Linked DNA regions of Caenorhabditis elegans. The protein of the gene in region 1 purifies or fractionates together with the protein of each later gene. This does not show direct contact. Each region holds a gene or a part of one and is shown on either strand. Other genes may lie near its edges.

The links.
Region 2: the proteins of Y22D7AR.7 (region 1) and zig-11 fractionate together in Caenorhabditis elegans (co-fractionation; one large-scale study listed by BioGRID). This does not show direct contact.

Annotation. Positions count from the first base shown.
Region 1 is NC_003281.10:1,678,953-1,694,252, forward strand, and holds Y22D7AR.7 (Tyrosine-protein phosphatase domain-containing protein), read right to left. Parts: upstream 9,148-15,300; coding exon 8,099-9,147; intron 8,090-8,098; exon of another isoform or gene 8,038-8,089; intron 7,725-8,037; coding exon 7,540-7,724; intron 7,498-7,539; coding exon 7,293-7,497; intron 6,325-7,292; coding exon 5,944-6,324; intron 5,890-5,943; coding exon 5,744-5,889; intron 5,679-5,743; coding exon 5,527-5,678; intron 4,864-5,526; coding exon 4,678-4,863; downstream 1-4,677. Other genes in the region: Y22D7AR.14 (uncharacterized protein), read right to left, coding at 9,192-10,066, 10,931-11,026, 11,072-11,075; srd-64 (Serpentine Receptor, class D (Delta)), read right to left, coding at 13,189-13,358, 13,406-13,763, 13,808-13,948.
Region 2 is NC_003283.11:1,872,084-1,888,649, forward strand, and holds zig-11 (Ig-like domain-containing protein), read right to left. Parts: upstream 10,158-16,566; 5' UTR 10,108-10,157; coding exon 10,053-10,107; intron 8,842-10,052; coding exon 8,715-8,841; intron 7,761-8,714; coding exon 7,546-7,760; intron 7,491-7,545; coding exon 7,420-7,490; intron 6,306-7,419; coding exon 6,032-6,305; intron 4,291-6,031; coding exon 4,118-4,290; 3' UTR 3,403-4,117; downstream 1-3,402. Other genes in the region: cct-7 (T-complex protein 1 subunit eta), read left to right, coding at 169-258, 317-838, 1,396-2,106, 2,807-3,091.

The DNA.
Region 1 (15,300 bases):
ATTTGAAAATGGAAGTGTTTTTCGACCAAAAAATATGGAAATTCTGCGATATCTCAAAAATTAATCGATTTATAGAAAAGCTGACAACTACAAAAATATTCCTCTTGTAATTTTAAATATTTCGTTAGTTAAAATCTTTTTGATAGCTCAATTGGCTGCGGAGATAGAGGGCTTTAAAGTTTGAGAGTAGAGAGAAGGAGACGCAGACAGCCAGCGCGCCCTTCTTCTCTGCGTCTCCTCCCCTCTTTTTGCTCTCTCACTCTCACTGTGAAGGCGCTGAACTTTAAACGTGTATATCTCCGCGGGGAGGAAAGATACAAAAATGGTGTTAACTAACAAAATATGCAGAAATATTTGAAAAATATTTTATTTGTTGATAATTTTTTAAAATTTTGAAAACCTACAAAGTTATGTGAGTAAAAAATTAATTTCTTGAAAATTTCTTGAAAATTCACTAACTTTTTAAAAAGTGTGTTAAAGCGAAATCTTCCAAATACTAGCGAATTTGGTATTTATTCAAAATAAAATTAAAAATATTTAAATTTTGCTAATTTTTAAGGTGAGACGCAGACAGCCAGCGCGCCCTCCTTCTCTGCGTCTCCTCTCCCCTCTTTGCTCTCTCACTTTCTAGACCTCCCAACTTTAAACCATCATATCTCAGCGGAGAAAAAAGATTCAAAAAAGTTGTTAACTATCAAAATATGCAAAAACACTTGAAAAATATTGTGTAAAGTTTAAAAATTTTATATGTCAAAAAATAACCAAGTTACAAGAGTTTTAGTGACAACTAACTGCCAACTAGAAGAAAAAAAAACGGGTTTTCAATAAAGAGATCAAAAAACTAACGGATATTTGATAAGGAAAAGGTGATGTTTGGACGCTTTTTATACTTGCTTATTTTTCATTAAAAATTGATCATTTTGTAGGAGGAAAACACAATTTTCAATTTGGAAGGTTTTGAAAGAAAAAATCTGAAATATCCTTGACACGACACTTTTTGACATATTTATGGGGTACTTAAATAATAATCCTATCAACATTTGAATGTGAATCAAGTACTTCATGACATTAAACTAATGTCAGGTGAAATCAGAAATTACTGATAAAAACAATGAGTTCAAACAGTCATTTTTATTTTTTGGGTTTTGGGGAATCGGAAACTTTGCACAACTTTTTTAGTTTTTGACATATGAACAAGTTATAAATGATAAAATGTTGAACATTTTGTGTGCAATATTTTGTTAGTTTACGACTTTTTTGTAGGTCTCTTCCAAGACGAGATATAAGCGTTCAAAGTAGGCCCAGAGAGTGAGAGAGTGCGAGGAGACGCAGACGACGAGAGCACTCTCGTCGACTGCGTCTCTGCTCAGAAAACGGTCAATACATTTTTTATACATTTTTTGTACGTTTTGAATAAAAGAAAATGCATAGAAATTCAAAACTATCAGTTTTAAAGAATGTTGCAATCGTAACTAATTTAGAAAAAAACGTTTCTAATGAAAATATCATAACTTTTTTGTTTTGCAATTTATTAAAAATTTGCAAACTAAGAAAATATTCCTCCTATATTTTTACACATTTCGTTAGTTTACAACATTTTTGTATCTCTCTTCCCCGCCGAGATACAAGCGTTCAAAGTTGCGACCGTCAGTGCAGTGAGAGAGTGTGGGAGAAGGGGAGACGCAGAGAAGGAGGGCGCGCTAGCTGTCTGCGTCTCCTCTTCTCTCTACTCTCAAACTTTAAAGCTCTCTATCTCCGCAGCCAATTGAGCTATCAAGAAGATTTTAACTAATAAAATATTCAAAATTTCAAGAGGAATATTTTGGTAGTTGACAACTTTCTTATAAATATACTAATTTTTGAGTTGTCCCAGAATTTCCAAATTTTTTGTAAAAAAACACTTTCTTTACACTATTCTCATTGTCGTTTACACATAAACTTTGAAGCCCTCTATTTCTACAACCAGATGAGCTATCAAAAAGTTTTATTTTTAAAAAAATTTGAGAAAAACTTTAAAAAAGTGATAATTTTGAAATTTTATAAAACTATCTGAAAGTTTTCGGCCAAAGAAACATGGAAACAAAAAAAATCCGTTGTCGTCATGTAAACGCACCCGAAAATGGGCAGAAATTAGTTGGAAAACAATAAAAGGGGGGAAACTGATGATCAATGTAAAACGGAAACGAAGAGACGCAGAATGGGAAAGACAGGTGAGAGAGTGACGGGGTAGGAGAGAGTGGCAGAGAGACAGACAGACGAAATGTTGGAGGAAAGGACTGGTTTTGTAATTTATTAGTGTGGTGAATGGGGTGATAAGAGGGTGTGAACAAGACGCAGGTAGCGAAAGAGAGAGAGTGACGAGAGACTAAAAATTTACTGGGAATAATACAAAGAAAGTGTTTTTCACAAAAAAATTTGGCAATTCTGCAATATCTCAAAAATTATCAGATTTATAGAGCAGCAGCCAACTGCGAAAAGATTCCCCTTAAAATTTCGATCATTTCGTTAGTTGCAAACTTTTTGGTAGCTCAATTGACTGCCGAGATAGAAGGCTTTAAAGTTTGAGAGTAGAGAGGAGGAGACGCAGACAGCCAGCGTGCCCTCCTTCTCTGCGTCTCCTCTCTCCTTTGCTCTCTCGCCCTATTTGGCCATTTAACGTCAAGCCTTCATATCTCCGCGGGGAAAAAAAGATACAAAAAAGTTGTCAACTAACAAAATATGCAGAAATATGTGGTAAATATTTTACTAGTTGAAAAAAATTTGAAATTTTGAAAAATACCAAAGTTATGAGGAATTTAAGAAAAATTTCTCTTTTTATGTGGTAAAAGTCACAGAGGAGCTGTTCGGGTTGCTTAAAAATTTTGTTTTAAAAATTAAATATTTTAGGTTTATGAAAATATGTTAAATATTCAGAAAAGATGTGAAAACGTTGCAAAAAAAATTTTTTTTGGAGTTTTTTTTTGAAAATAAAATTTTTCTATCAACTTCCAGGAGTGCTATCAAATTTTTTATATTTTAGAAAATTTTCGTTGGAATAACACCAGTCTCTGCTGAGTTATGAAATCTACCAAAATTTGCACTTATTTTCGAAAAAATCCTGTAACTAGGAAATGGGCGGAGCCTAATACAATTGTTTAACTGATAAAATGTGTAAAATTTCAAGGTCTTAATTTTATTAGTTAACAACTTTTTTCTAACATTTTTAGTTTCAGAGATAAAAAAGTTTAAAATGTTTTTTAATCCAAAAAAAATTGTTTTCAAAAAAAAACACCTTTTTTTTCAAAAATTTTACTAAATTTTTTTTTTCGCTAATATTATTCAAAATGTCTTATTTTACAAATAAATAACCAAATCCAACACATTTTACAACTAAAAACCCCGTAAAAATGTGTGAAGAATGAGTAAACACGCCTCAAAACTTCTGGGAAAATGCATCGAAGAGGTTTGGGGAGTGGCGAGAGAGTATGGGTAGGCAAGAGAGTGCAGACACACACACACAGATACACAGACAGATGATCATGAACCACGTGGAATTGGATAACGGATAGCTGATAACAATTATCAGGTGATAAGAGGGGTGCTAGGGCACAAGGGGCAAGTCGCTACTCACCGAAACTCGGGTTGCTGGGGTGGAAAATTTTACCCGAATTTAGAATTTATATATTGGTTGAATAAATAAAACAGTTTTCTCCATTATGCATAAAATATCTGCAAAAAAATATTGAAAATTGAAAAAGGTAGAAGGGTTTGAAAATTGGTTCAAAATTGCGGGTACTGTACTTTAGAGGGATTTTTTAGATTTTTATTTGAAAAAAAAACATTTAGTGCAAATTTTGGTAGATTTCATAACTCAGCAGAGACTGGTGTTATTCCAACGAAAATTTTTTTAAATATAAAAAATTTGATAGCACTTCTGGAAGTTGATAGAAAAATTTTATTTTCAAAAAAAAACTCCAAAAAAATTTTTTTTGCAACGTTTTCACATCTTTTCTGAATATTTAACATATTTTCATAAACCTAAAATTTTTAATTTTTAAAACAAAATTTTTAAGCAACCCGAACAGCTCCTCTGTGACTTTTACCACTTAAAAAGGGAAATTTTTCTTAAATTCCTCATAACTTTGGTATTTTTCAAAATTTCAAATTTTTTTCAACTAGAAAAATCAGAGGCACGTGCATGACGACTGTAATTGGTAGCAATATTCTTGTTTAAACCATTGACTAGTGGAAGACCAGATGTAATCAAACAGAAGAAGTGGTTCAAAATGATTAATGATAATTCTGAAAGTTTTTAAAAATTAACTGAAATTCTGAATAATAAAATAAACTCACTCATATTTGATTGAAACAAGCCTCGAATCTGTTATCTTCTACTGAATCCTATGTGCTGTCGAATGGTAAAGAATATGGAGCAATTATTTGAAATATCGATTTATTTTCTGATGACAATTCAAATGATGTTTCGATATTTGGCAATTTACGTGAGATTGACCGTATGGGATTTTTGAAGATTTATATTTTTTGAAGCTAGTTTTTTCCGTTTTGGAATGGAAATTTTAGAAAATTTATCAGCTTCATTGTAAAATTGTTCCACTTCACCCCTCAACAATTACAGATATAAAGCTACTTCCAACCGAAAACATCTAATAAAATTCATTTTTCAAAAAAGTTCATAGTTCACTCCTCCTTGACCTCCTTGACAGACTCATCTTCAATTCCATTCGTTTCAGACTCACTTGATCTATCCTTCCGTGTCTCATCTCGTTTAACTTTTCCATCAATTTTGAACCAAGTGGTGAAGGCTTCCGTCAGGTAATTCATAATTTTTGTGATATCGTCTGGAACGGCAGTTGGGTCGTAGGCCTGAAAATTTGAGATATAGGCTGGGGAGTAGAAAGTTGTGGAAGTGTTGGCAGTGTGTCAATTGGTGCAAGCTTAAGCGACAGCGCGTGATGTGTCGGATGCAAAGTTCCAAAAAGCACAGGCTGGTTAGACCAAACCAGTAATGTGTCCGCTGCTTTTTTAACCACTGATCACTGATCAACGCCAGTTGTGGGGTGACATGGCGCGCCCGTAATGTGCCGGCCACTTTTTTTTTTAACTTCTAGTTAGTAGATCCAATCAAATGCCGGCTGCTCCTGCTTGCCAACCTACAAGGTGTCGGCTGCTCCAAGATAGAAGGAAGGCGACAGTAACTATGGGCCCGTAAAGTGTCGGTTGCAGAGACTCTTGTAGTGTCCGCTGCAAGTCTCTAACTCATAGTGTGGCCAAACTGGTTAGATGTCGGCTGCTGCCCTAAAGCCCCGGGATGTGAGTGTCGACAGTTAAAACTCATGGTATGTCCGCTGCAAGTTTCCAACCCTCAAAGTAAACCAGTTTGGTGTCGGCTGCTTGTCCTATGTGAGCTCTCGCTAGAACCCGCAAAGTGTTCACTGCAAGTTTTCAAAAGCAACCCCGCAAACTGTCTGCTGCTACTTTGCACTGGCCAGCGCCCGACAACATCCGGTCTCCGCCATTCAACCTCACCTCAAACGCATACATAAAAATCCCATAGATCGCAAATCCATACTCAATCGGCTGCATAACCGGACCTTCACAGTGAGATCTCAGAGATTTCAGAACACTTACAAATGTGGTTTTCTTGTTCAACGCGAACATTTGATAGCCAAGATCAATGTCTGAAACGGATTCAACATTTGTAGGCGCGCCTGCCTATTAAAAACCTACAGGCAAAAAATCATACTCCTCGAGATTCCATGCACAATAACCGGGGTTTTGGAACACTTCACATTCTTGATGAGCTTGAGCAAAGTTTTCGAGTTCTCGGGGACGGAGCACATTGACCAGGATTTGTAGAGGTGGTGGGTTACGGTGAACTCTTTCTCTTTTCTGAATTTTTCAAAAAAATATTTGGAAATTTAAAACCTGACTATTTAAACTTACTCGTACTGAACCACAAGTGTCCTTTCTTCCACATCCTCATCCTCTTCCATATCACAGCAACTAATCTTAAAACCTCCGATCTTTACAATCCCATCAGCACTTTCCGGGAAGTACTTGCAGAACATCCGATTCCAGTTCGCATCTTCCTCATTCACCTGTCCCAGCATGACAATATGGGTGACACGTTCCTGACGAACTGCCCACCAGAATTTGAACACTGTGGATGCTTTATCAAGGATCTTGTGTAGAGGAGATTGAGTGAGAATGAGTTGGAGGCCATTTGGACACTTGATTCGGTTGGCATGAAAGAAGTCGGATGTTAAGCGGGATCCGTGGACGTTTAGAGGTACACGGGTTGCCATGACCAGTGGAAGTTCTTCTCTTAATAAGAAATTGGAGTAAAGAAGCTTCAGAGTCGTGTGGTGTAAGGGACCATTAATTAAGACCCAGTAATTAAGACCCCCCGGCTGCTTTTAAAACCAAGTTATGTATCTACGTGACCGTGATGTGTCGGCTGATAAGACCCGTGATATGTACTCGGCAAATTTCACACTCCCGGAGTGTGTGCCAGGAACATGTCCGCTGCTGTTCAAACTTTTCCTAATGTCCCGGCTAGTGTCAGCTGCTTTAAACCCATAGTATGTTCTAGAGAACTTCGCACGGTAGATCCAAGCCAGTACAATGTCAGCTGCTGCCTGCCTACTAACAAAGACCCACGAGGTATCGGCTGCTTGCAAAACGTGCCCGTATTGTGTCGGCTGCTAAAACCCGTGATATGTCCGCTGCAACTTCCACACTTCCATAGTGTGGCCAGGACAAACCAGTAAAATGTCGGATGCTTGATCAAACTCTTCCTAATGTCCCGTGTCAGCTGCTAATTGCGTACTCCCAGAGTGTGTGCCAGCAACCCATGGTATGTCCGCTGCAAATTCCACGCTCGAAGAGCGTGTACCAGTATGGTGTCGGCCGCTTTTCTAATTTCTAGAGAACTACGCATGGTAGATCTATGCCAGTAAAATGTCAGCTGCTTCCTGCCAAACCTACGAGGTGTCGGCTGCTAGTTTTACCAATGTGCGTATCGATGCGCCCGAAATGTGTCAGCTGCTAAAACCCATGGTATGTCTGCTGCAAGTTATACACTCCCAAAGTGTGGACCTGAAAGATGCCGACTGCTTCATTTAAATTTTCATAGAGGCCCCGTGAAGTGTCGGCTGCTAATCTCCCATGGTATTTCTCGTTAGAGCCCCGGAAGGTGTCGGATGCAAGTCTACAAAATCTAAACCGTAAAATGTCGGCTGCCCAGATCTGCACTAACTGGCGCACGCCTTGCAAAGAATATTTCCCATTACCTCTGCTCCAATGAGTGCTTCTTCACGTAATCTGTCATTCCGACGCTCTTGATCTTCTCCGAATCCTTGGCCAACAGTTTCGTGACATATTCCTTCAAAACCTCCGTCGGGCTCTTGCTCGTCAGCTTCTCATCCTTCTCAAACTTTCTGACCTTATTGTAGAAGCCTACGATCATATTCTTTACAAAATCAAGTGGAATTTCTTCTGAAATTTTCTAGTTTTAATTAATAGTTGAGAGAAACTCACGTTTAAAACGCTGGGCTTCCACATCTTGTGGGGAATACGGAATACCTTTCATCATCACTGGATATTCGACTGGCTTCTTCTCCTTATCCTCGTCAGGGTCGCAGAGGGAGAGTAGGATTGCAAAAAGAATGAATGCAATAAGCAGGTAGATCAATCCCAGTACAACATAGGACCAGGGGTAGAATCTGGAAAACAATTAAAATTGAAATTCTGAAATTTCCAAAAAAGTGCAAAAACACAATTTGCCGAAAATTGTCGGCAGTTGCCTTTTTTTCCGGCAAATCGATAATTTGCCGGTTTGCCGAATTGCCGATTTGCCGGAAAATTTTATAGGTTTAAACTTAGGATTAGGCTTATGCTTAGGCTTAGGCTCGGACTTGGGCTCAGGCTTAGGCTTATGCTCTCCTTAGTGAGAGTTAGGTTTAGCCTTGGCGTCAGTGGCGAGCGTTAGCTTTAGGCTTGGGTTTATAGCGTGTTTTTCATTTTTCAAAGGTTAGGCTCAGGCTTAGGCTTAGGCTCGGACTTAGGCTCAGGCTTAGGCTTGGGCTTATCTACTAACCTCACAAAGACATCGGGCCCTTCAGCTCCCTTATGCTTCCGTTTCCTCCAGATCCTTGTAGTCTGGCCCTCCTCGCTTGTTGTCTCTGGTCGCATCGTTGTCGTCTGTTCCTGTGAAACGGGCAAGCTTTTCAATTTTTGAAGGTCAAATGTGATCCCTGACACTTTTGCGGCTGCTTCGAAAAGTTTATAGAATTCTGATAGTTTTTCGGAGTAATGGAATCTCACACTGTTTTCAAATGCTCCAAGATCCTTGAACATTTTTGGCAACTGATCTTCCAAAGCTTTAAGCTCTTCGGTTGATTTTCCATAGCTCTTCACCGAAGCTAACAACTCGTCAAAAGCATCCCTCTCACCCATAACATTCATCATAGATACAATTCCACGTGTCGCTTTCCCAATAACCATTAAATGTTCAGAAATATCACCAAAATCCGATAGATCATATCGCACAAAGACTTTGAAATTTTCAGTGTTGTTGATAAACTCTTGAAGGTTCCTCAAGTTCTCTTGGATTTTTGGTAAGTGCTCTGCCAGTTTTTCCTTGCTCAGATTTGTGCTTTGAAAGTACTTAAGAGCAGTGATAATTGGCTTGATATACTTGAACTCTTTGGTTTCTCTTAAAGCTTTCATGGCGTCGATGAGTTTTTTGAAATCCGATAGAAAAGTATCAAAATTTTTGAAAAAATAAGGAGCCATTTCAATCATGTCACCTATGATGCCGAACTTCAGAGTATCTCTAAGTTTGACAATCATGGAGTTAATTTCTTCAAAATCCAATGAATTCCGCACTTGATCCAAGTCATTTTTCTTTAAAAGCTCCACCATCCTTGCCAACTTATTCTCATTCATCTTAAGTTCATTTGATACTTTCAAGTATTCATCGTGAAATTTGCATAGGAAAGACAACAGCTCAACAGCATATAAATTGATTGTAATGGCGTCGTAATAAACAGTTGTGAAAACATCAAGTTTATTGAAGATATGAGTTTCTTGAATATTTTCCGTAAGAGGAGTTACAAACTTTGATGAAAGAACCATATTTGTCATATTTAATTTGAATATATCACTGACTGCATTATCACTAGATTCATTTAATAATTGAGTTCTCCAATGTAAAACTTATTTAAACCTTTTATAAAATTCAAGCCCTCATCTTTGACTACAGGATGAATAGATTCTTCCGTCAAATCATCATGAATTTTTATTAAATCAATATATCCATTGATTAATCCGACAATATGGGTTGAATATTTGAAATTATCATGTGTCTGCCCAAAAATATTATTCAAATTTTCCGCAACCTCCTTGAAAAGCTTCAAGTTTGCAATAAGTTCTACAATTGCCGGCTCATTTTTAGACGCATTATAGAAAGGTATTGAGGCATACTCTTCAGTTACTTCAACTGATTTTTTTAGAATTGGGAAAAATTTCAAACCGTTTTCAATTTCAGGTCTTTTTGGAAGACCTTCATACATAGACAAATTGAAGGTTGACAATTTTTCGATATCCAAAGCAGTTTCATTTACATTTATCCAGTTATCATGCCCTGCATGAAGAAGTTCCACAAAGTCTGCGAATCCGAACAGAGTCCGAATAAACATGCCCAGTTGGGTCCAGTCAACACCAGAGCTTTCTAAATCTTTCAATTCTTTACGATATCCTTCCAAGCTGTGTAATGTAGCATTCAACCACTCTGCTTTCTCCGCAACAGATACCAGCTTCAACAACCGATCCGCCATAGTAAAATCACTTGCCTTTTGTATTTTATTGATTTTTTCAATGACATTAGTCAGCGAGTCCATTTTGATATCCAAGATTTGAGAAGGCGCAATATCTCCAAAGTTAACAAGCTCCGATATAAGTTGATCAGATGGAATAGTTCCGGAATGCAGACCGTTTTGAAGATAAATTCCATTTGTAATTCGGGATATTGCAATCATTTGTTGGACATATGGATATAGTCTAGCTGAAATTGGTTCAGGTTATTTGTTATATTTTCTGTATTGTTGTCTATTTTTGTTGCATGCAACTAATAGAGGAGATATCGGTTTGTTTTGCACTGAAAAGTCTTGCAACAAAAGGTTTTTTTTTCCAACTTTGCTAGAGCAACTAAGTGTACCTTATCACTGCAGTTATAAATATTGTGCCTCCCCTGACAACGTTGTCACTATCAGAGGTGGGCGGATATTTTTTCGGATATTTTCTAATAATGAATTTATCAATAAGTTTTGATGTAGTTATTCTGGAAGAAATGTATCCAAACCAAAGAGTAACTATTAAGCAACATTTTAATATGATAAAACCTAGAAAAATTCTACAAGTTTTCCTTACCGAGACCTTAAAACTTATTAGCCGAGCAACATCGGATATCGGATAATAGACTTGCATATCGTTTATACAGAAAACTTGTAGAATTTTTCTAGGTTTTATCATATTAAAATGTTGCTTAATAGTTACTCTTTTGTTCGAATACATTTCTTCCAGAATAACTACATCAATACTTATTGATAAATTCATTAATGTTTGTTCATAATAGCACTATCGTAGATTCAACGTGACGCTACTGTAATCCTACAGTTCCAAAACTTAAATGTCTTCATTTTATGCACCTTGGAACTACTTGATCTTTTGTAGCCTTACTGCACAACTACTGTAGTTTAACCGAGATGCACTGAGACATTATGTGAGTTTATGAGGGTTTTTTGTGTTTTTGAGTGAGTTTATGAGAGTTTAGTTGTGAGTTTATGAGACATTTTGAGACATTATGAGACATTATGTACACATTACTTGTTAACAACCTCCACCAGTGTCGGCTGCTCGGCTTACTTACAATCTTTAGCTCGTGGTGATAAGCGGTCATGACTCTCGTTGGCTCCCACAATACCAATAAATATCAGAATATATCCAATTGATTTATAAATAGCTGCTGAAAATAAATATAATCCTGCAAACTTCGAAAAAAAAAACTCACCCATTGCGAAATAGTTATAAACTTGAGCAATGAGGCATTTGCAAATTTGATGAGCAAAATCGAGCACGTAAATTTGAAATTTTTAAATTTTTAAATGTCACGTTTCATTCTTGGCAAGCAGGGGTGGGCGGCAAACAAATTTTTCCGGCAAATCGGCATTTGCCGGAATTGAAAATATTCGGCAAAACGATAAATCGGCAATTTTCCGATTTGCCGGAACTTTTCGGCAAATTGTGGTTTTGCACTTTTTTTTTTTTTGGAAGTTTCAGAATTTCAATTTTAAATGGCAAAATTGAACGCATCCTATAAAGTTTCCAACGTCTATTTTTAAACATAAGCATATTCTATGAAGATATGTAGAAAAAACGGGAAAAATTCAAAAATGCGCAGTTTTAAGTGTTTTCCGTCTTATAAAAAAACCCTTTAAATGTTCCCGGCAAATCGGAAAACCGGTAATTTGCCAATTTGCCGAACGGCAATTGCCGCCCACGCCTGCTATAAAGTAACAGTTCACGAGGAAATAATAGAAGCTTTCGAAGTTTTCAAAGATATAAAAATTATAAAAATTATATAAATCATAATAATTGCAAAACATTATTAAAACTATTGACCAGGGGTGTGCGGCAAATCTCAAAATTTGCCGAGCTCGGCAAATTCGGCAAATTTGCCGTGCTTAACAAACTCGGAAAAATTTGATATTTTTTATGTTTTTTGGAGCACCAAAACTACTGAATTCTTAACACACATCTGGTTTCTGAATAAGTTCCGCGTAGTATGTCTGTTTAAGCATCAAAATAGCTCAATTTTGTGTCATTTTACTAATTTTTTGGCTAAAAAATCAATAGTTTTAGTCAAAATTGTACTGTCAAATTTTTGACGTGTGCGGCAAATTTCGAAATTTGCCGAGCTCGGCAAATTCGGCAAATCTACTTTTTTGAAATTTGCCGTGCTCGGCAAACGGCAAATTCGGCAAATTCGGCAAATTTGCCGAGCTCGGCAAACGGCAAATTCGCCGAGCTCGGCAAACGGCAAATTCGGCAAATTCGGCAAATTTGCCGCACACCCCTGCTATTGGCATTATAACAATTGGTAAACTGAATTGGCAAAAAATAAGTTTGTCCGTCGCTATACACAATTGTCGACCCGAGTGCACACGGTTCGTGTTTATTACAGCTAGCTGGCTAGGTGCACACAGACACACCGACAATATCGATTCATCTCACAGCCATACGCAAGAATAACTCAAGAATAACTAAATGTGCTTTTTTTCTCTGTTAGATGTATATTCACGTCATTTTCGTTTTTTTTTTCAACCTTAATGCCTTTCAAACTATTCAACCAGGGGTAGGGGCAATAAATGATTTTTTTCCGGCAAATCGGCAAATTGCCGGAATTTAAAACTTCCAAAAACCGGCAATTCGGCCAACAGGTAAACTGTCGATTTGCCGACAATTTTTGGCAAATTGAGAAAAAATTTGCCCGATTGAACGATTTGGAAAGTTTTCAGCAAAAATTAGTTTTAGTTCAACTCTCAAACTTTTTCACAATTTTTTCCCTTTTTCTGTCCCTTTCGGCCCTGTTTATGGGATTTTTAACCCAACTTCGGAATTTCCCATGTTTCCAGATTTTTTGTCCTTTTTTCCTTCTTTTTTTTCTGGGTTTTTAGGAATTTGCTGGGAGTTTCTCTTTTTCTCTTTATTCTCACCTCACCCCTGCCCGAAACTTCTCGAAAAAGTTCTGAAAACATTGGACATTTTTTTAATAACTTGAAAATAGTTCCGCCAATTTTTGAAACCGTTTTGGAACTATTAAAATTTCGTGGAAGTTCTGGAATTTGTCCTGAAAAATTCTGGAAATTTTAAAAAATACTTTGGCAAAGATTTCGAATTTTCTGTAAATTTTCTGGAATTTTTCGGAATCTCTCAAAAATTGAACAAATTTTTGAAACTTTTGAAATTTGAATTTTGTAAAATTCAATAAAGTGGTCTAACATAATCCAAGGCTATTGTAAAAACGTTTTGAGAATGATCAATCTTTATTTGCATTACAGGATACTATATGTTTTAGGGTACAATAGGAACATGGGTTTTGCAGATCAAAGCTTTTTGCACGAACTTTTAAAAAATCACACGAGAAGCCCAACTTACAACGTTGGACCGAAATCGCACCGGCCTGCATTCCAAAAACCTCACGACGGCTTCTCGGTAGGGCGTGATGAAGTAGATTTGAACAATAGGGTCAAAAAGGCAGGAACCTGTGCCATTTAGGGTGATAAGGAATTGACGGCCTGAAATAAAGAATTTGACGGCCTGAAAATCAGCAAACTTCCCTTACCAGAAATTTGAATCGCTAGAAACAAGAAAACCATTGGCACATATGTGAGCAATGGAAGGTAAATTTGAAAGTTCAATCCCCGAATCAACTTCCGAAACATGTCCCTAGTAGTCTCCGATGTATTCGGAGACATGTGAGGCGTCAGAAGCTTCATCGCCTGATACTTCCAGTAACTACCAATTATTGGGAAGTACGACATAGCAATAAGTGTAACAATCGCCGACCTGTCAAGGAAGACTTTTTGAGCCTGACTGTACCCTCCGAAATTCAGATAGGGAGTATAATCTAGATCCGGGTGAAGGGTCCGAGTTTCATTGTGAACTGCCAGATGGTCCGGGGAAGGGATGAACTTTATGGCCTGTAAAATTTCTATGCCTTAAAAAAAAGGCTATCAATGCTTACCAAATACACCAGGGGAACTAGGTAATGCCAGAAAAATAGGAGGTTCCTCCGTTTGATCATCTTCGGGTCGAAGGATTTAAGGCATATGGTGCGGTAGTAGAGCGTGTGGAGATTGATCAAACCCATGGTTATTCCACAAGTCTGTAATTTTTCCAATTGATTCTCGAAGTTTCTTCTTATTGCCAGCCCCTTCAATTAAGAAAGATTTTGAAGCACAGGCCGTTTTCTGGCACTTAGAATGGGTACTGCAAGCTGGAAAGCCTGTTGTGAAGCTAGCAGTGCTTTTGCGGAGCACATAAAAATCTCTGCCATTTGGTGGGACTAATGTGACTTCACAAGTTTATTTTGAGTCTAATGGAGGTCTTGAAGTTTAGGCAATCAATAAATTTTTCAGAAAAATCGATTTTTTTTTTGAAATTTCAGACAAAAAATTGATAAAATTGCGTATTTTTTTGGAATTTATGGGAAATTTGGAAAAATTATAGATTTTCAGCATATTTTTCGATTGTTTTGACTAAAAATGCGGATTTCCAGAGAAAATAAAAAAAATTTTTTCGAAAATCTGAGCTTTTTGAGTACAAAAAATAGAAAAAACCAAAAAAACATTTTTTTCAAAAAATACGGAAAATTTTTAGGAAACCCCGATTTTTTTTTTCAAAAAAAAATTTATCGATTTGTTCCACTAAAATTGTCGATTTTTTTCAGTTTTTTGAGGAAATTTGGAAACTTTTCTCATTTTCCTGAATATTCAGACATTTTCGGTCAAAATTCCAAATTTTTCGATTTTTCGGCAAAAAAAATTGACCAAAATTCAATTTTTCCAATTTTTTGGCTAATAAATTGGTTAAAAGCCAAAATTTCCGATTGCTTCTAAACCGCTTATAAAATGTTCTAAAAAGCTGTAAAAATTCTCTAAAAATTCTTAACAAACTCAAATAAAATGCTAAAAAAGCTCTAAGATTGCCTTAAAATGCTATAAAAATGCTTTAAAAATGCTCAATAAATGACCACTTAACGCTCTAAAAATGCTCTAAAAATTCTCCGAAAATGCTTAGTAAATGTTTAAAAACTGCTCTAAAAGTGCTCTAAAAATTTTTTTTTTGCTCAGAAAATTTTCTAAAATTCTTAATAAATACTCAATAAATGATCAATAAATACTCTAAAGACACTCTAAGAATGCTCTGTAATTGCTCAAAAATGCTATGAAAATTCTATAAATATTCTTAATAAATGCTCTAAAAAGGCTCAATAAATGTTCTGACAAGCTCTAAAAAAAGCTTTAAAATGCCATAAAAATAGCTCATAAAATGCTCTGAACATGCTCTAAAAAGCTATAAAAATTCCCTGAAAATTCCTAGTAAATGCTAAATAAATGTTTTTAAAATTCTTTGAAATGCTCAATAAATGATCTAAAAATGCTCTAAAAATGCTCTAAAAATGCTCTAAAATGCTCAATAACTGCTCAGAAAATTCTCTAAAAAGCTCTAAAAAAT
Region 2 (16,566 bases), on another chromosome or scaffold:
TGTGAATTTTCCAGATTTTCTTCATTAATATAATACTTCTAGACTTTCTACACATTTTAACATCAAAATCTTCGAATTTTGTCTTCTCTGCCCTCGTTTTAATCGCTCTTAATATTTCAAAATATTATACTCGTGCTTTAAAAATTAATAATTCAAATTCAGAGCAAGATGATGCGCCCACCAATTATCCTGCTCAAGGACGGAACTGAGAACAAGCAGGGAAAGGGTCAGATCATTTCCAACATCAACGCTTGTCAAGTTAGCTTCTAAAATTCTAAAATTTAGTCAAAAATGCCTAAAATGCTGTATTTTTCAGGTTGTCGCCGACAGTATCCGTACCACCTTGGGTCCACGTGGCCTCGACAAGCTCATCGTCGATAGCAAGGGAGCCACGACGATCTCCAACGATGGAGCCACAATTCTGAAGCTTTTGGATATTGTCTTCCCGGCCGCCTCCACAATGGTTGATATCGCTCGTTCTCAAGACGCTGAAGTCGGAGACGGAACCACGTCTGTCGTCGTTTTGGCCGCCGAAATTCTGAAGCAAATGAAGCCATTCATCGAGGACGGTGTCCATCCACAACTTCTCATTCGCGCCATCGGAAAAGCTTGCGAGAAGACGCTGAAGAACTTGGCTGATTTGGAAATCAAAATTAATGGCGAGACGGAGCTCCGTGAGATGCTTGTGAAGTGTGCTGCAACCACGTTGAGCAGCAAGCTCGTCAGTCAAGAACGGCTTTTCTTCGCCAATATGATTGTCGATGCTGTGAACACGTTGGATGCTCATCTTCCATTGAACATGATCGGAATCAAGAAGGTCAACGGAGGAAATTTGCACGTTAGTGAATCGAAAAGTCGTCTATCACGCGGTGTTTTGTCTTTCCACTGAAAATTGCAGATTTTTCAGCTTAAAAATGTTTTTCTCTGCATTTTACTAACAAAGCAGCTTTTTTAAACAGTGAAAATCGAATTTAAAATGACTAAAATGAACTTTTTTCGTCCACTGGTTGAGGAATGGTTAGAAATTGAAAAAATCAACGGGATTTTTCTTATTTTTTAAATATTTTTCCATTAAAAATCGATTTTAAACCATTTTGACCCTAATGTTAAGTCACAAATGGTTTAAAACCGATTTTTAATAGGACAATATTTAGAAAATATGAAAAATCCCGTTGATTTTTTTTTCAATTTAAAATCATTCCTCAACCATTGGACGAAAAATGTTCATTCTAGTCATTTTAAACTCGATTTTCACTGTTTACCAAAAGCTTTGTTAGTAAAATGCAGGAAAAACATTTGTTAAGCTGAAAAATCCGCATATTTTCAGTGGAAAGGCGAAATACCTCTATTTTAATTAATTAATATTTATTTTTAATTTAATTTTAAAAATTTCAGGAATCCCGTCTCATCAAAGGAGTTGCCTTCCAAAAAGCGTTCAGTTATGCTGGCTTCGAAATGCAGCCAAAGAAGTACTCCAATGTCAAAGTGGCTCTTCTTAACATTGAGCTGGAGCTCAAGGCAGAGAAAGAGAACGCTGAGATGCGTCTGACCAACGTTTCCGACTTCCAAGCTGTCGTTGACGCTGAGTGGAATATTCTTTACGATAAGCTTCAGAAGATTCACGATTCCGGCGCCAACGTGGTTCTCTCGAAACTTCCAATCGGAGATGTTGCTACCCAATGGTTCGCCGATCGTGACATGTTCTGTGCTGGACGAATTCCACAGGACGATCTTGATCGCTTGATGTCCGCATGCGGAGGAAGCGTTCTCACCACAGTCTCTCAAATCGACGACTCTGTCCTCGGAAAGTGCGGAAAATTCTACGAGCAACAAGTCGGAAGCGAGCGTTACAACTTCTTCGAGGACTGCTCAAAAGCTCAGGCATGTACGCTTCTTCTTCGCGGTGGAGCCGAGCAGTTCATCGCCGAGACCGAACGATCTCTTCACGACGCTATCATGATTGTTCGTCGTGCCAAGAAGAACGATTCGATCGTCGCCGGAGGAGGTGCCATCGAGATGGAGTTGAGCCGATTGATTCGTGAGCATTCGAAGGGTATTGAGGGCAAGGATCAAGCTTTCTGGATGGCTTATGGACAGGCTTTCGAGGTAGATATTGAAGAAACTGGTGCTAGTATAAATATGCAGAAATGAACGATTTTCGTGATGAGACAGTTCAAAATCTCGAAAAACTGGATTTTTTTGCTAAAATCTTTAATTTCTCCAACTTTTCCGTTTTCCAGTTGCTGGAAATTAAATTTTATTCGATTATCGATCTTTATTGCAGGTTTTTATCGTTTTTCTTCAGTTTTTTGTTGGCTTAGGCAGCCCTCAAGCTGTAAGGCTGCCTATTGACTCTAAATTTGCCTTAAACGAAGAAAAAACGACCAGAATATGCAATTTAATCGCATAAAAGTAAATTTTCAGCCGTTTTGATACGGAAAAGTTGGCAAAATATATGATTTTTGCGAAAACTGACCTTTTTTCAAGATTTTAAACAATTTCTGTTAACTTTCAGACCTATTTTGAGCTTAACTTAAAATGTGCCGAAATGAAGGAATTTTGAAAGTTCAAAATCTTGAAAACCTGGCTATTTTTAGTCAAAACCCCGAAAATTGCAGGTTTTCGTCGTTTTTCTCCCGTTTTTTAGGTTAGTTAAGGCAGATTTCAAGCTGTAAGTAATAAACCAACTAAAACATAACATTTTTTAAAGAAAAAATTCTTTGTATTTTTGAGTCGAAGAAACCAAAAAATCCATTTTTTTCACCAAAAACACCCAAAAAAAAAGCTAATTTCCGAAATTTTTCAGATCATCCCACGCCAGCTTTGCCAAAACGCCGGACTCGATGCTCTCGACGTGCTGAACAAGCTGAGACATCGTCATGCTCAAGGCGAGAAATGGGCCGGAATCGACATCCATCGTGAAGCCGTCGGAGATAATCTTGTCGCATGTGTCTGGGAGCCGAGCATCGTGAAGAGGAACGCCATCACAGCTGCCACCGAAGCCGCGTGCCTCGTTCTTTCGATCGATCAAACGGTGAAGAATGTTCGTACACCATCTGGAGGAGCAATGCCAGGACTTCCCGGGCAATAAGGAGATCAATGTGCCCCTCTGTGCATTCGCTGCTTTCTTTTGCTGTATTCAAATATTCAAATTTTGCGCAATTTTTTTTTAATTTTCTTCATAATTTTTGTTTGTTTTCTATCATTTTCATTAAACCTTTTGTTATGATCCCCCGTCTCTCTCTCTCTCTCAAACGTTCTCATCATAGCTTCTTGCAAAAAACTTTAAATTTTTTCTCAATTTTTCTTTTTCCCACCGATTTATTGTCCACCACCCGCTTGTTTTCTCTACCGCTCCCCGTCGTTTTCGTTTTGAATTTTCTGTTTGAATAAGTGCACTTTGAAAAAATTTTAATTTCAGTATTTCAAAAAAAAAGAACCATTAGAAAGAAGGTCAAACCTTACCGGAAAAAGCAGAAAAAGCGGAGAAGTTAGGTGATGGGGGTGGATACCGGCTTCAAAGTTGGGGGGTGGTGGGTGGGGATTAAGATGCATATAAAATGTCGCAAAAACACCTACTTTTACATATAAATCGGGGAGAAAAGTGAAATTTCTTGAATTTTGAGGAGTCACCACGGATTCAAGATCTATGAGAACGAGATCTCTGAAAATCGAGGCAACAATGCTCCGATTATACGCATCGCGCGCGTTGTTTAGCGTGTTGAGAATTTTTTTTTTGTCCTTTTTTTTGAAAGAAAAATTTCTGGAAAACGATAAACAACGCGCACGACAAGCGTAATATCGGAGCATCGTAAAAATGGTAGATCACAGAATCCCACAGGATCTTGACACCGTGGTGCCTCGAAAAAAGATTAAAGGAACATATAAGTGTGGGTGGCAGTGAGGGATATCGGGGGGTAATTGGTGGAGCTTTTGAGCATTACAAAATTATGAAAAAATTACGAAACAAAAAGTGGTGACAGGATGTCCCACAACGGTGGTTTGATCAACAAAAAAATGCGGGAACTTTTTTCACAGAAATTAATATTTCCTAAATTCCCGCGATTTTCGGAGATCAAAACGACATGGGACATTCTGAAACCCGAGATGAAAGAAATTAGACGCTATTCTTCAACGGCACTTGATCGTTGTGAAGAGCTCGCTCACGATCCGCCACGTTATACTGATCAGCCTTGTACTTGGCACATCGCTGGCACGTGAAGATGACGAGGAAGAGCAGGAGCAGGATGATGAGAATGATCGCAAGTGGCAGCATCCATCCGTAGGAATCTGAAAAATTGATTTTTAGGAAAAAAAAACATTTTTTTTGTGAAAAACAAGAAAAGAAAATCGAGAAATTGTCAATTTTTCAAAAAAAAAAAAATTTTTTTCTAAAATTGTTTAGCTGAAAAAAAAGTTTTTTCCAATATTTTTGCAATTTAAAATTTTTTCAAATGAAAATCGGGAAATTGTCGATTTTCAACAAAAATTTATTTAATTTTTAGGTTTTTTGAAAAAAGTTTCGAATGAATTTTTTTTGCAATTAAAAAAATTAAATTTTTCTTTAATTAAAAAACAAGAAACAAATTGAGAAATTGACAATTTTCAAAAAAATACTTTTTTTCAAATTTTTTAACTGAAATAACGAAAAATTGTTGGCTTTTCAAAATTATTTTTACTTTTTTTTTGAATTTAAATTTTTTTTTCAAATGAAAAACCATAAATCATCAATTTTCCGAAATAAAATTATTTTTTTAAAGGGTATCTGCAAATTGTGCGAAAGTTGGTTTTTGGAGGAACAGTTTTCTTATTTTCGGATTTTTTTTCAGAGTTAGTCGAAAAATCGAAAAACCAGAAAAAAAAACAGAGTATAATTTTCTTCTATCTATAAATAAGAAAACGGGACCAAAAATTGAAGCTATTGTTGAAAAAAAAATTTTTTTTTTTTCTAAAATTTTTATAGCGCCAGTGGAGAAATTGCTTTAAAACACGCCTATGGTACCACAATGGCCAAATATCACGATAAAAAAATTCAAAAAATTTTTCTAAATTTTATAAGGTTTTTTTGAAAATTGGAAAAATCTTAGTTTTCCCCCTAATTCCTATTTGAATTAACGCCAATTGGATTTGTTCGATGGAGCGCGCTTGCACGTTTTTAAATTTATTTATTTTATTTTTTGTTAATTTCCACCGATTTTCAATGTTTTTGGTGTATTTTTGCTTGAATTTTAGAGAAAAAGTCAAAATAATTGCAAATTTTCGATTAAAAAGCACGCCTGCAGGCGTAAATCTATGAAATTAATTAATTCAGGTTTGAAATCGTTTAAAAACGTTACTTTTTTTCATTTTTACGCCTGTAAGCGTGCTTTTTAATCGAAAATTTGCATTTATTTTGACTTTTTCTCTAAAATTCAAGCAAAAATACAACGAAAACATTAAAAATTGGTGGAAAATAACAATAAATAAAATAAATAAATTTAAAAACGTGCAAGCGCGCTCCACCAAACGAATCCAATTGGCGGAAATTCAAAAAAAATTAGGTGAAATTGTGATTTTTCCATTTTTCAAAAAATCATATAAAATCTAGAAATTTTTTTTGAATATTTTAACTATTATATTCGGTCATTGTGACCTCATAGGCGTGTTTTAAAGCAATTTCCCCACTGACCGTAGTCCACCTTTAAATTTAAATTTTTTCTCGAATAATTTTTTCACGGGGTTCTGGCCTTTCTCATTGAATTTTCGCGCTCCATTGGCAATCGCCTGCCGGACAACGCGTGGAAAAGTGTAGTGTACTCCACATGGACTACACAAAATCTCGCGGACTCAAAATGGCCTAGTTCGGCAAACTCTGCCATTTCGATTTATGAGGGAGGCCAGAATTCCGTGTTTTTTTTCGACGGAAAAACGATAAAAGTTTAAATATCTAAAATCGGAAAATCAATTTCTAAAACATTTTTGTCCTATTTCAAAAAAAATCCTTTTTTCTGTATTTTTCGTCCAGCAAAACATCAGAGGGCTCCATCAGTACCTCCGATTCGCAACTCCTGATCGAGTTTCACGGCGAAATGTTGCTCGGGTCCGTCGATTTGCACAGGGAACTGGTTTGTTGCCTCGCAACGGTACACACCGGCGTCCTCTTCTTGGGCTCCTTCGATGCTCAACACGCCGGCCGTGAATTTGACGCGGCCCTCAATCTCCAGCGGGAACTTGTCCTTATACCAGACAATTTGGGGCTCCGGGTAGCCGACGATGGGGCATTGGATACGGGCGGCCGAGTCGAGAGGCGCGTAGACGGCTGGGCCCTGAAAATATTTAGTTTTTTTTTTTGAAATTTTTTGCAGAAATAATTTAAATTCCCGCCCGCGTTTTGACTAATTTTATAGGTTTTTCTTGTTTTTTTTTTAATTTGAAATTTGAATTGGAACATCGCTTGGCAATTTTCCATGCATTTTTCACGAAAAAGTATGAAAAATCTATCTACTTGGAGCGAAATTTGAAAAAAAAAACCTAGAAAATTACCCGGTGGCCGAGATTTCTAGTTTCTAGGCCATTTTTTTTTTCAAAAAATCGAGAATTTTTTGAAAAATTCGTAACTTTAGAGTTTATTCTACTTTTCTATTTCATAAACACCGATTATTTCGAAAATGCGTATTGCACATTATATTTGAAGCGCAAAATATCTCGTAGCGAAAACTACAGTAATCCCTTAAATGACTATTGTAGCGCTTATGTCGATTTACGGGCTCGATTTTTCGAAATTAATTTCGTTTCGAATTGTGAATTGTCAGTTTTCCTTTATTTATATGAAAAAAACCACGGAAAACTGAATATCACCATTCGAAACGAAATTAATTTCGAAAAATCGAGCCCTTAAATCGACACAAACGCCACAGTACTCATTTAAAGGATTACAGTAGTTTTCGCTACGAGATATTTTGCGCGTCAAATATGTTGTGTACGCATTATCAGAATTTTTGTGTTTATGAAATAGAAAAGTGGAATAACCTCTAAAGTTAGGAATTTTTCAAAAATTCTTGATTTTTTGAAAAAATGGTCTAGAAAATAGAAATCTCGGCCACCGGGTAATTTTTTATGTTTTTTTTTCAAATTACGGGCAAAATAAAGTGTTCCTGTAATAACGTTAAGTCATTTTTCGATGTTTTTGGGGTAAATCGAAAAATTTTAGATTTTTCGAATTTCCAAAAATTCGATTGGTTTTTCAAAAACCGAAACATCAAAAAAAAAATTTTCGTTTTTCGATTTTTTGCAATTTTTTTAATTGGCCGTGGAGCGCGTTTCCACGTCGAAATTTGAAAAAAAGTCATTCTTCTGCGCGTCCCGTAAATCGACACAAAATACAGTAAGACTTATTGTTTGCGCGTTGCAAGACCCGAAAATTTGCATTTTCAGACTCACCACCACAGTAAACGGCTCGGATTCCGATTTTTTCAATTCCCACGTCTCATTGTTCTTCACAACTGGATGAGCTGAAAAAAAAAGATTTTAAATTAAAAAAAAAATTTTCCAGAAAAAAAAACCCACAATAAGCGAACATGTTTCCAATGATAATCGAATTGTCGGGCACCTTAATCTCACAACGATATTTTCCCGACGCGTCGGCCTTCGACTGTCCAAAATGCAAATACGCTTTATCGTCGTCAAGTCCAATGTCGGCTCGGAACTGCTTTTGATCGCGAATTCGAACGAATCGAGCCCACGTTGGCTTGTAGTGAATTGTGCCTTCGCGTACTTGACACCTGAAAAACTTGAGACGGCTATTTGGAAACTTTTTTTAAGGTGGGGTACCGAAATCTGGGAAATATTTTTAAATTACTCCAAATTTTCCCTTGATTCCGAATATCTAAGTGAAAAAATTCAAAAAAATTTCCCTGATTTTATATTTGAGCTTGAAATCGCGATTTTCATTTGCATAGCCATGAGAATTTTCAAAGACGCGCCCAAATAAATTATCCTTGGAGCGCATTTGTCCCATTCGATTTTCTCCATATTTTCACTTTTTTTCAGTTTTTCAGCTATTTTCATTCATTTTTGTCGTATTTTATGGGTTTTTTCGAAAAATATATTTTTTCGTGTCAATTGAACATTTTATTAGACCAAAAATGAATGAAAATAGCTGAAACCTGAAAGAAATGAAAATTGATGGAGAAAATCGAATGGGGCAAATGCGCTTCAAGGAGAATTTATTTGGGCGCGTATTTCAAAATTCTTATGGGTACGCAAATGAAATTCACGATTTCAAGCTCAAATATAAAACCAGGGAAATTTTTTTGAATTTTTTCAATTAGATATTCGGAATCAGGGGAAAATTTGGACTCGTTTAAAAATATTTCCCAGATTTCGGTACCCCACCTTCAAATCGAAAGAATACTTTTTTTTTGAAAAAAAAAATATTAAAATTGTTTTTTTTTATTTTTGGAAAAATCGACAAAGTTTTTTTTTCGAGAAGTTCAATTTTTTGAAAGTCGGAAAACGCGTTTTATGTGGAGAATGGCAAAAGTGTTTTTTTTTGAAAAAATAATTTTTTGGAATTACTATTTTTTATGGAAAAAAATATATTTTTCAATCGAAAATCTGGAAACGAAATATTATCGAAAAAATCCAATGCTCAGAAGTGTAAAAAAAATATCTTTTGAACTCGATAACTGCCAAATTTTCAAAATTTCGAAAATTTGTCCCTCCGTGGTACGAACCACAAAACTCCAGTCGTTTTTCGGTTCTCATCAATGTCGGTGGAGAATAGCGATTCTCCGTGAATCACTGTCTGCAGGTTTCCCATCGCAGTGTATTTTTGGCTGGTGGCAGCGTCGCTGGGCGCATCTGAAAATTTTTTAATTAAAATAATTTTTTAAAAATAATTTTCGAATTTTGTCCCAAAAAGACGGTACCCGGTCTCGACACGAAAGTTTTTTATTAAATTCAAGAAAAGGTGTGCGCCTTTAAAAAGTACTGTAATGTTAAACTTTCGTTGCTGTGGGCTTTTTTCTCGATTTTTAATAGTTTCTCGATAAAATTATATATTTTTTATCGAGAAACTATTAAAAATCGAGAAAAGAGCCCACAGCGACGAAAGTTTAACATTACAGTACTCTTTAAAGGCGCACATATTTTTGTATTTAACAATTTTTTGTCGTGTCGAGACCGGGTACCGTAGTTTTGGCGTGAAAAAGTGCGAAATTTCGCGACTGAATAATAATAAATTTTGAAAAAAAAATTTTTTGGAATTACTATTTTTATGGAAAAAAATATATTTTTTTATTCGAAAATCGGGAAACGAAATATTATCGAAAAAATCCAATGCTCATATTAAAGTCTATATATTAATATTAAAGTCTTTAAAAACCAAAATCGTAAATTTTTTCGAAATTTGAAAAAATCTCGTTTTTCAGATATTTCGACAGACCACAGAGCGGCTTTTACTACGTGGCCTAGAAAAATCAAAAACTAGGCCAATGATTTATCTGGGATTTTTGACGTGGGATGTTTCTGAAACTTGACGAGAATGTTCTCGATAGAGGGTTCTATAGTTCCACAATGGCGATTTTTGAGAAAATGTTCCGTATCCATGCTATGAAGGTGGCCGAGATTTCTTATTTTACGGCCACGTAGTAAAAACCGCTCTGTGAGACTTCGATTTTTCGAAGAAAAAAAATCCTTAAAATTTCTGTCATATTTCTTCATTTTAGAAGACATTTATATGTTTTCTTAAGTTTTTTCATCAATATAAACTTGTTTTTTTTTCGATTTTCAGGAAAATCGGAAAATTGTTCGTTTTTTCCCTGAACGAAAAAAATGATCTGGTACCGCTTTTAGGCCCAAAAATCGCAAAATTTCACGTTTGGATAATAATAAAAAGTTGCGCCTAGCTTGTATAACCGTGTGTGTGTGTGTGTGTGACTCAGTGCAAATATACAGAACGTTGTTCTTTTCTTATAGGCTTTTTTTGTGCATTGTGTCCGTCCTCTTATCATATGGCTCACCACCACAAAAAACCACCGCCGCGTGAAAAACAACAAAGTAAAAAGGCTTACACAGTGCTAATATCACTGCCAGTGTCGTGGCGGCAAGTACCGTTGTGCCACACATTCTTGATTGGCTCTTCTGTACGGTGCAGAAGACTAATGACGACGTGGATTCTGAAATAAAAATTATTTGGAAAACGGTGAAATGGTGAAGCAGTGTGAAATGGGGTTTTCATTTCAAAAAATTCAGAAGGAAAAAAAAACCGCGAGAATGAAGAAACCAAAAATTTATGGAAAATAGTCCCTAATGACCGAATATAACTATAAAAAATTCGCGTTTTTCGGCTAAATTTACAGTTTTTTCTCGATTTTTTCTTTTAAATTTGATTTAAAACATCATTTGCCAATATTCGAAACAGAAAAAAAATTTATAAAGAAATATTAAATTGCCGATTTTTTGGCTAATTTTAAAATTTCAGCCGAATTCTGTCGGGTTGTTGAAAATTGTTTCAAATATTGGCAAATGATGTTTTAAATCGAATTTAAAAGAAAAAATCGAGAAAAAACTGTAAATTGGGCCGAAAAAACGCGAATTTTTTATTATTATATATTCGGTCATTAGGGACTATATTCCATCAAATTTAGCCAGAAAACGCGAAAATATCAAAAATGACGTCACTCACTTGCGCGGGAATTCAAATTTAATTCGGTCGTTTCTTTGATTTTTGAAAAATTTAAAATATCCTTATAAGTTTAGAATTTTTTATTCTATTTTTTTACAAGTATATTCGGTCAATAGGGTCTATCAATTAAAGCAAAAAAGACGCGATTTTTTAATTTCCGCTAAATTCCCTCCAAAAAGAGAGAGAGGCAATTTTTTAGGAGAAAAAATTAGAAATATTTTTCTACAGTATGCTTAAAGGCTCACCGGCGTATTCAAAAAGAAACAGGAGAGCGCGCGGCGAGACCCATGTGCCGGAAAGTGTTGTGCGTCTTGAAGGAGTACGGTAAATTATTTTTTCGAAACACAGTTTTTCTATTATTTAATTTCAAAATAAATTTTCATTGAATTTTTTCTTTATAATTTTTAATTTTGAAAATACGTAAAAATTAAATTAAAATCGCTTTTCTTTTAATAAAAAATGAAAAATAATTCAACAAAAAAGAAATCAACAGCAATATTCTCTACTGTTTTTCTCATTTTCTGACTGCCCAAAAACTGATAATTCAGTGATAACGGAGGCTCCTCGATACTAAAAGCGCCAAAAAAAAACGGTGAAAAACGGCGTGGGGACGCAGAGAAATATCAGCGGAGAGCGGGAAGGAAAAAAAAATGGAAAAAGCATACAAACATATATATATATATATACAAAAAGCAAATAGTAACAAGACGGAGAGAAGACAGAAACTGCAAAACTGTGTAGAACTGAACTTGGTGGTTTGAAATGGGAAAAACCCCAAACATTTATTACATAAACGCAAAAATGCTGAGAATACGTTTTGCGCAACATATTTGACGCGCAAAATATCTCGTAGCGAAAACTACAGTAACTATCTAAATGACTACTGTAGCGCTTATGTCGATTTACGGGCTCGCTTTTTGAAAATATTTTTTTTCGAATTTTGACACCGATTTTCCACCGCTTTTTCGTAGTCTTTTATAATTTTTGTGCTTATTTTCAATATTTTATCCATTAATAAATGATTTTAATTGAAAAACGTCAAATATTAGCTTCATTTTGATGAGGAAACGTCTACAAACGTATTTTTAAAATTATTTCCTGTCGGGTTTCATCTGGAAAAAACCTGCAATAGACGGAAAAGAATGTAGAATAATGTTTATAAGAGTTTCCTCATCAAAATGAAGCCAATATTTGTCGTTTTTCAATTAATATCATTTATTAATGGATAAAATATTGAAAATAAGCACAAAAATCTTAAAAGAATACGAAAAAGCGGATGAAAATTGAATATCGGTGTCAAAATTCGAAAAGAAAATATTTTCAAAAAGCGATCCCGTAAATCGACACAAGTGCTACAGTAGTCATTTAAAGAATTACTGTAGTTTTGGCTACGAGATATTTTGCGCGTCACATATGTTGCGCAATACGCATTCTCAGAAGTTTGTGTTCGTGTAATAAGAAGGTAAAATAAATTCTAAAGTCAAGAAAATGTTGACCGGAAATTTTCAATTCCCACAACTTGCTGATTTGCCTATTTGCCGGAAATTTTCAATTCCGGCAATTTGCCGGTTTGCCGATTTCTCGGAGATTTAAATTCCGGCATTTGCCGATTTGCCAGAAAAATCGTTTGCCGCCCACCCCTGTTTGGGGCTATTCTGAGCTTATTCCATCAAAACCAAACCGTTTAACGGCACAAAAATGTCGACGGAAAATCGAACGAAAAAGAGCCGGCCATGCCAAAGAGCCATTTTTCGTGCGAAGAAGCAAGAGTGTGTGGAGAACATAAATTTGAACTGAAATTTGAATTTGAACTTATTGTTCATTTTTAATAAGCCGGCGGCGGGATGGAAGGAATTATTCAAGAAATGGAAGAAAAAAATCTTCCGTGGTCTTTTCTTTTTTTTCCTCAATCCGATTGACATGCGAATTTCTGGCAGAGACAAGAACAATTAGATTCGGCTAAATTGTCTTGTCTTGCTCCAAATTCCTCCCAATTTCCTTTCGAAAATCAAACGCCAGTTTTTTCTTTTATTTTTGGCGGGGTGGTGGCAGCGGCGTGTCAGAAGAGATAAAATCTCACAGAGACAGAAGACGCCTCAAGGTTTTCCATGTAACCATAACAATTTACACATTAGATCTCTCGATAAATTGTATTGTTGTACTACAACAGATACATTTCTCTTCTGATCCGTCAGAGCAGAACTGCTGAGCCTCATGCATTCTCGATGAGGGCACACAAGAGCAAAAAGAGAGCAATTTTCGACAAAAAAAGAGTTATGAAAACTCGATGATTTGCTGTTGTTGACGATGGAAGAGAAAAAAATCTTTAGAAACTATCAAGATTCTCGTAGTTTTTTTTCGAATTCTCACCGTTTTTCGATTTTTTTTTTCAAAAATCGTAAAATCGACACCCTTGCTTCGAAGTCTCCCGTAAATGATGAAAAATCAAAGAGATGAAGCACACACACACAAGCGTGATTAGCGAATCGAGGAACACCACAAAACGGTCCCTTGGGACGGGAAGATGATGCGAAAAACAAGCCAAGCCTCATGTCTGATGAGTTATTTTCTGTATAATTGTAGTAGGACGGGATATGCAGGGAAATGTTGAACGACGCGTTAAAGAAGGAGTATCCTGAATAGGGAAATTGTTTTAAAATGTAGTATTCATGCTCAAACATACGAATATAACAAAAGAAAAACGGGAAAAATCCGTTAACATTGAGCATTTTAAGTCAGAAAAATCGGCGAAAAATCTTTATAATTTGACTAGGAAAATTCTAGGCCAGGAGGATTGTCCGCATTTTAATTCTGTCGTGTATTGTATTTTTAATAAGTACTTAATACAATTCCTTCTTCTCAGTTTTCTTAAACTTTTTGAGAGAGAAAAATTATTTAAAGTTTGAAAAATAACATTTAAATCAATTTTTTGTTGAACGAATATGGCCTAGGAATCAAGTGGCGGCCTAGGATTCATTCACGCGGGAATTTGAAATTAATCCGCTTTCATCCGCTTTTGTCGATTTTAGTGGCGATTTGCTCAATGTTAACGGATTTTTCCCGTTTTTCTGTTGTTATATTCGTAAGTTTGAGCACGAATACTACATTTTAAAACAATTTCCCCATTCAGGATACTCCTTCTTTAAAGGAACACACATTACTTCTAATTGGGTCTTGCCACGCTCTCAACAATAGTGGTCGTCAGGGGTTGTCGCCGAAATTTTTTTTCGATTTTTTTTTGAGCAAAACAGAAAAATTGGAAAACCGTAAATTTTCGTTTTTGGCAAAATCGAAAAATTTTTTTGAAAGCACTTCAAAATCGGTATTTCTCATTCAGAATGTAATATTTGGATTACGGTTTACGGACAACTGCCGTTCGGCAAAACCGGCAAATTGCTGGTTTGCCGGAAATTTTCAATTCCGGCAATTAACTGGTTTGCCGGAAATTTTAATTTTTGGCAATCTACCGATTTTTCGGAAATTTTCAAGTTGGCCAATTTGCCGATTTTCCTGAAATGTTCAAGTCCGCCAATTTGCCGGAAATTTTCATTTTCAGCATTTTTCCGGTTTGCCGGAAATTTTCTAATTCGGCAATATGCCGGTTTGCCAAAAATTTTCAATTCCGGCAATTTGCCGGTTTGCAGGAAATTTTCAATTCCGCCAGTTTGCCGATTTTCCGGAAATTTTCAAGTCCACCAATTTGCCGGATTGCCAATTTGCAGGAAATTTTCTATTCCGGCATTTCGCCGGATTGCAGGAAAATTTCAATTCCGGCAATTCGCCGGTTTGCCGAAAATTTCAATTCTGACAATTTGCCGATTTGCCGGAAATTTCAAATCCGGCAATTTGCCGGTGTGTCGGAAATTAAAAAATTTTTGGTTTTTTTCCAGAAAAACCGGCAGACCTGGGGCTTTTGAAAGCTTCCAGAAAAGTGATGACTTTTTTGGAGATTCACATTCTACCACGGAGATCGTTGCGAGACCAACTCAGATAAACGGCGTGTTCCTTCAAACCGCGGTTGCAGATCTTTCAGAAAAAAAAAACTCGGCCACCAATTTTTTGATGTCACTTCAAATTCTCTAGAAATAGAGGAGTAGGAACACTTGTGAATGGAAAAAAAGGAAAAAAAATCGGTGGCCGAGTTTCTCCGTTCGCGGCCACACGACAGGCGTTCCCAGACTCCTCCGAGCAAGACTAGAAGCGAAAAACAGCAAAACTCTAATCCGGAACAAAAAAGTAGAAAAACAACATCTAGATTGAAAAACGAATAATCTCTTTCCCTGTGATTTCTTCTGATATGCCTTTTTCCCAAAACAAGGGAGTAAAAAGAGCAAATTCGGAGCCGAAAGAGAAAAGCGAGCGACGAAATCGAAACTTTGTTGCAATGTAAAAAGTGCTCCGTGACACCCCCACACACACACACATCATCTCACCCTTACTTGCCATTTTTGAGTTGTTGTGTGCATGTGTGTGTGTGTGTGCACGAAGGGAAAATCCCTGCTCACTGAGTCTCTGGCTGTCGAGCATTTTCCTGTTTTTTCCTTGTTTTTTTTTTTCGTTCTTCTTCGCCTACTTCGCGCCTATTGTAGCGAAAAACAAAGATATCATCTTTCTCTCACTCTGAAAGTGTGAGAAACAACTCAAATGGCCTTGATCTACAAAAAATGCGGGAATTTTTCTCCCAGAAAAATATGACGTCAGCACACTCGTATAGACCCAAAATGGGCTCAAATGAACGAATTTCGTAATGAAACTTCTCAAAAAAAATTTCAAAAAATTTTTATGCCGGTTCAAAATTTCGAAAAAATAACACAGATTTCAGCTAAAATCTCGAATTTTGTTCACTTTTCCGTGTCACATCTGTCTGTAGTTGACTTTTTTGGAATTATCATCCTTTATTGCATATTTTGGAGGGTTTATCTCATTCTATTTCGTTGATAAAGGTACATTTAAATCCAATAGGTAATCAATTTTTATGATTTTTGATTACCTATCGGCTTTAAATGTGCCTTAATCGACGAAATAGAATGAGATAAACCCTCCAAAATATACAATAAAGGATGATAATTCCAAAAAAAGTCAACTTCAGACAGATGTGACACGGAAAAATGGCCAAAATTCGGGATTTTAGCTAAAATCAGTGTAATTTTTTTCGAACGTTTAAACCGGCATGAAAAAATTTTTGAAATTTTTTTTTGAGAAGTTTCATTATGAAATTCGTTCATTTGAGCTCATTTTGGGTCTATACGTTCAAAATCGTTCTAGCCGTTAGTCCTCCTTACGAAATCAGATGATATCTCTGCGTCTCTTCTCCCGCATTTTTTGTAGATCTACGTAGATCAAGCCGAAATGAGACGTATGGCCTAAAAGCCGTGTCTGATCTCAGAGGGTGAACTGAGGGAGAGCGAATGGGCTCCAGGAGCCATTTTTCTGATCTCAGTAGACGAACGAAGAAAGAAAAAAACGAAGTATGTTGGCAAAAGGAACTCGACAGAGATTTTTGCCGTCCTCTTTTTCTTTTTTGAGGCGCCGACAGCAGCAGTGCATTCTAATTTTCTTTTCACTTCTCGATACTTCCTCGAAAACAAAACGCTGGAAAACTTCTCTCGACGACCACAAATGGGCGAGAAAATTGGCGAAATTCAAGCCAAAAAGGGGGAAATCCGAAACTCCTTTTCCCTTTGCCAGGGCAATTTTGTTGGGAGAAAATCGAAAATTGAAAAAGAAAAAAAAATGACGGCGGGCGGGCGGATAGAGAAAGACAGGAAAATGGCAAAGATTGAGCGAGAGTTCCCCCCGGAGAATATTTGGTGCCAAGTGCCAAAAAAGTGTATGAGGATGGAGAAGTTGGGTCACCTAAAATCTCGAGAAATCTTGATTAAAGTTTCAGCCTTGTGAGT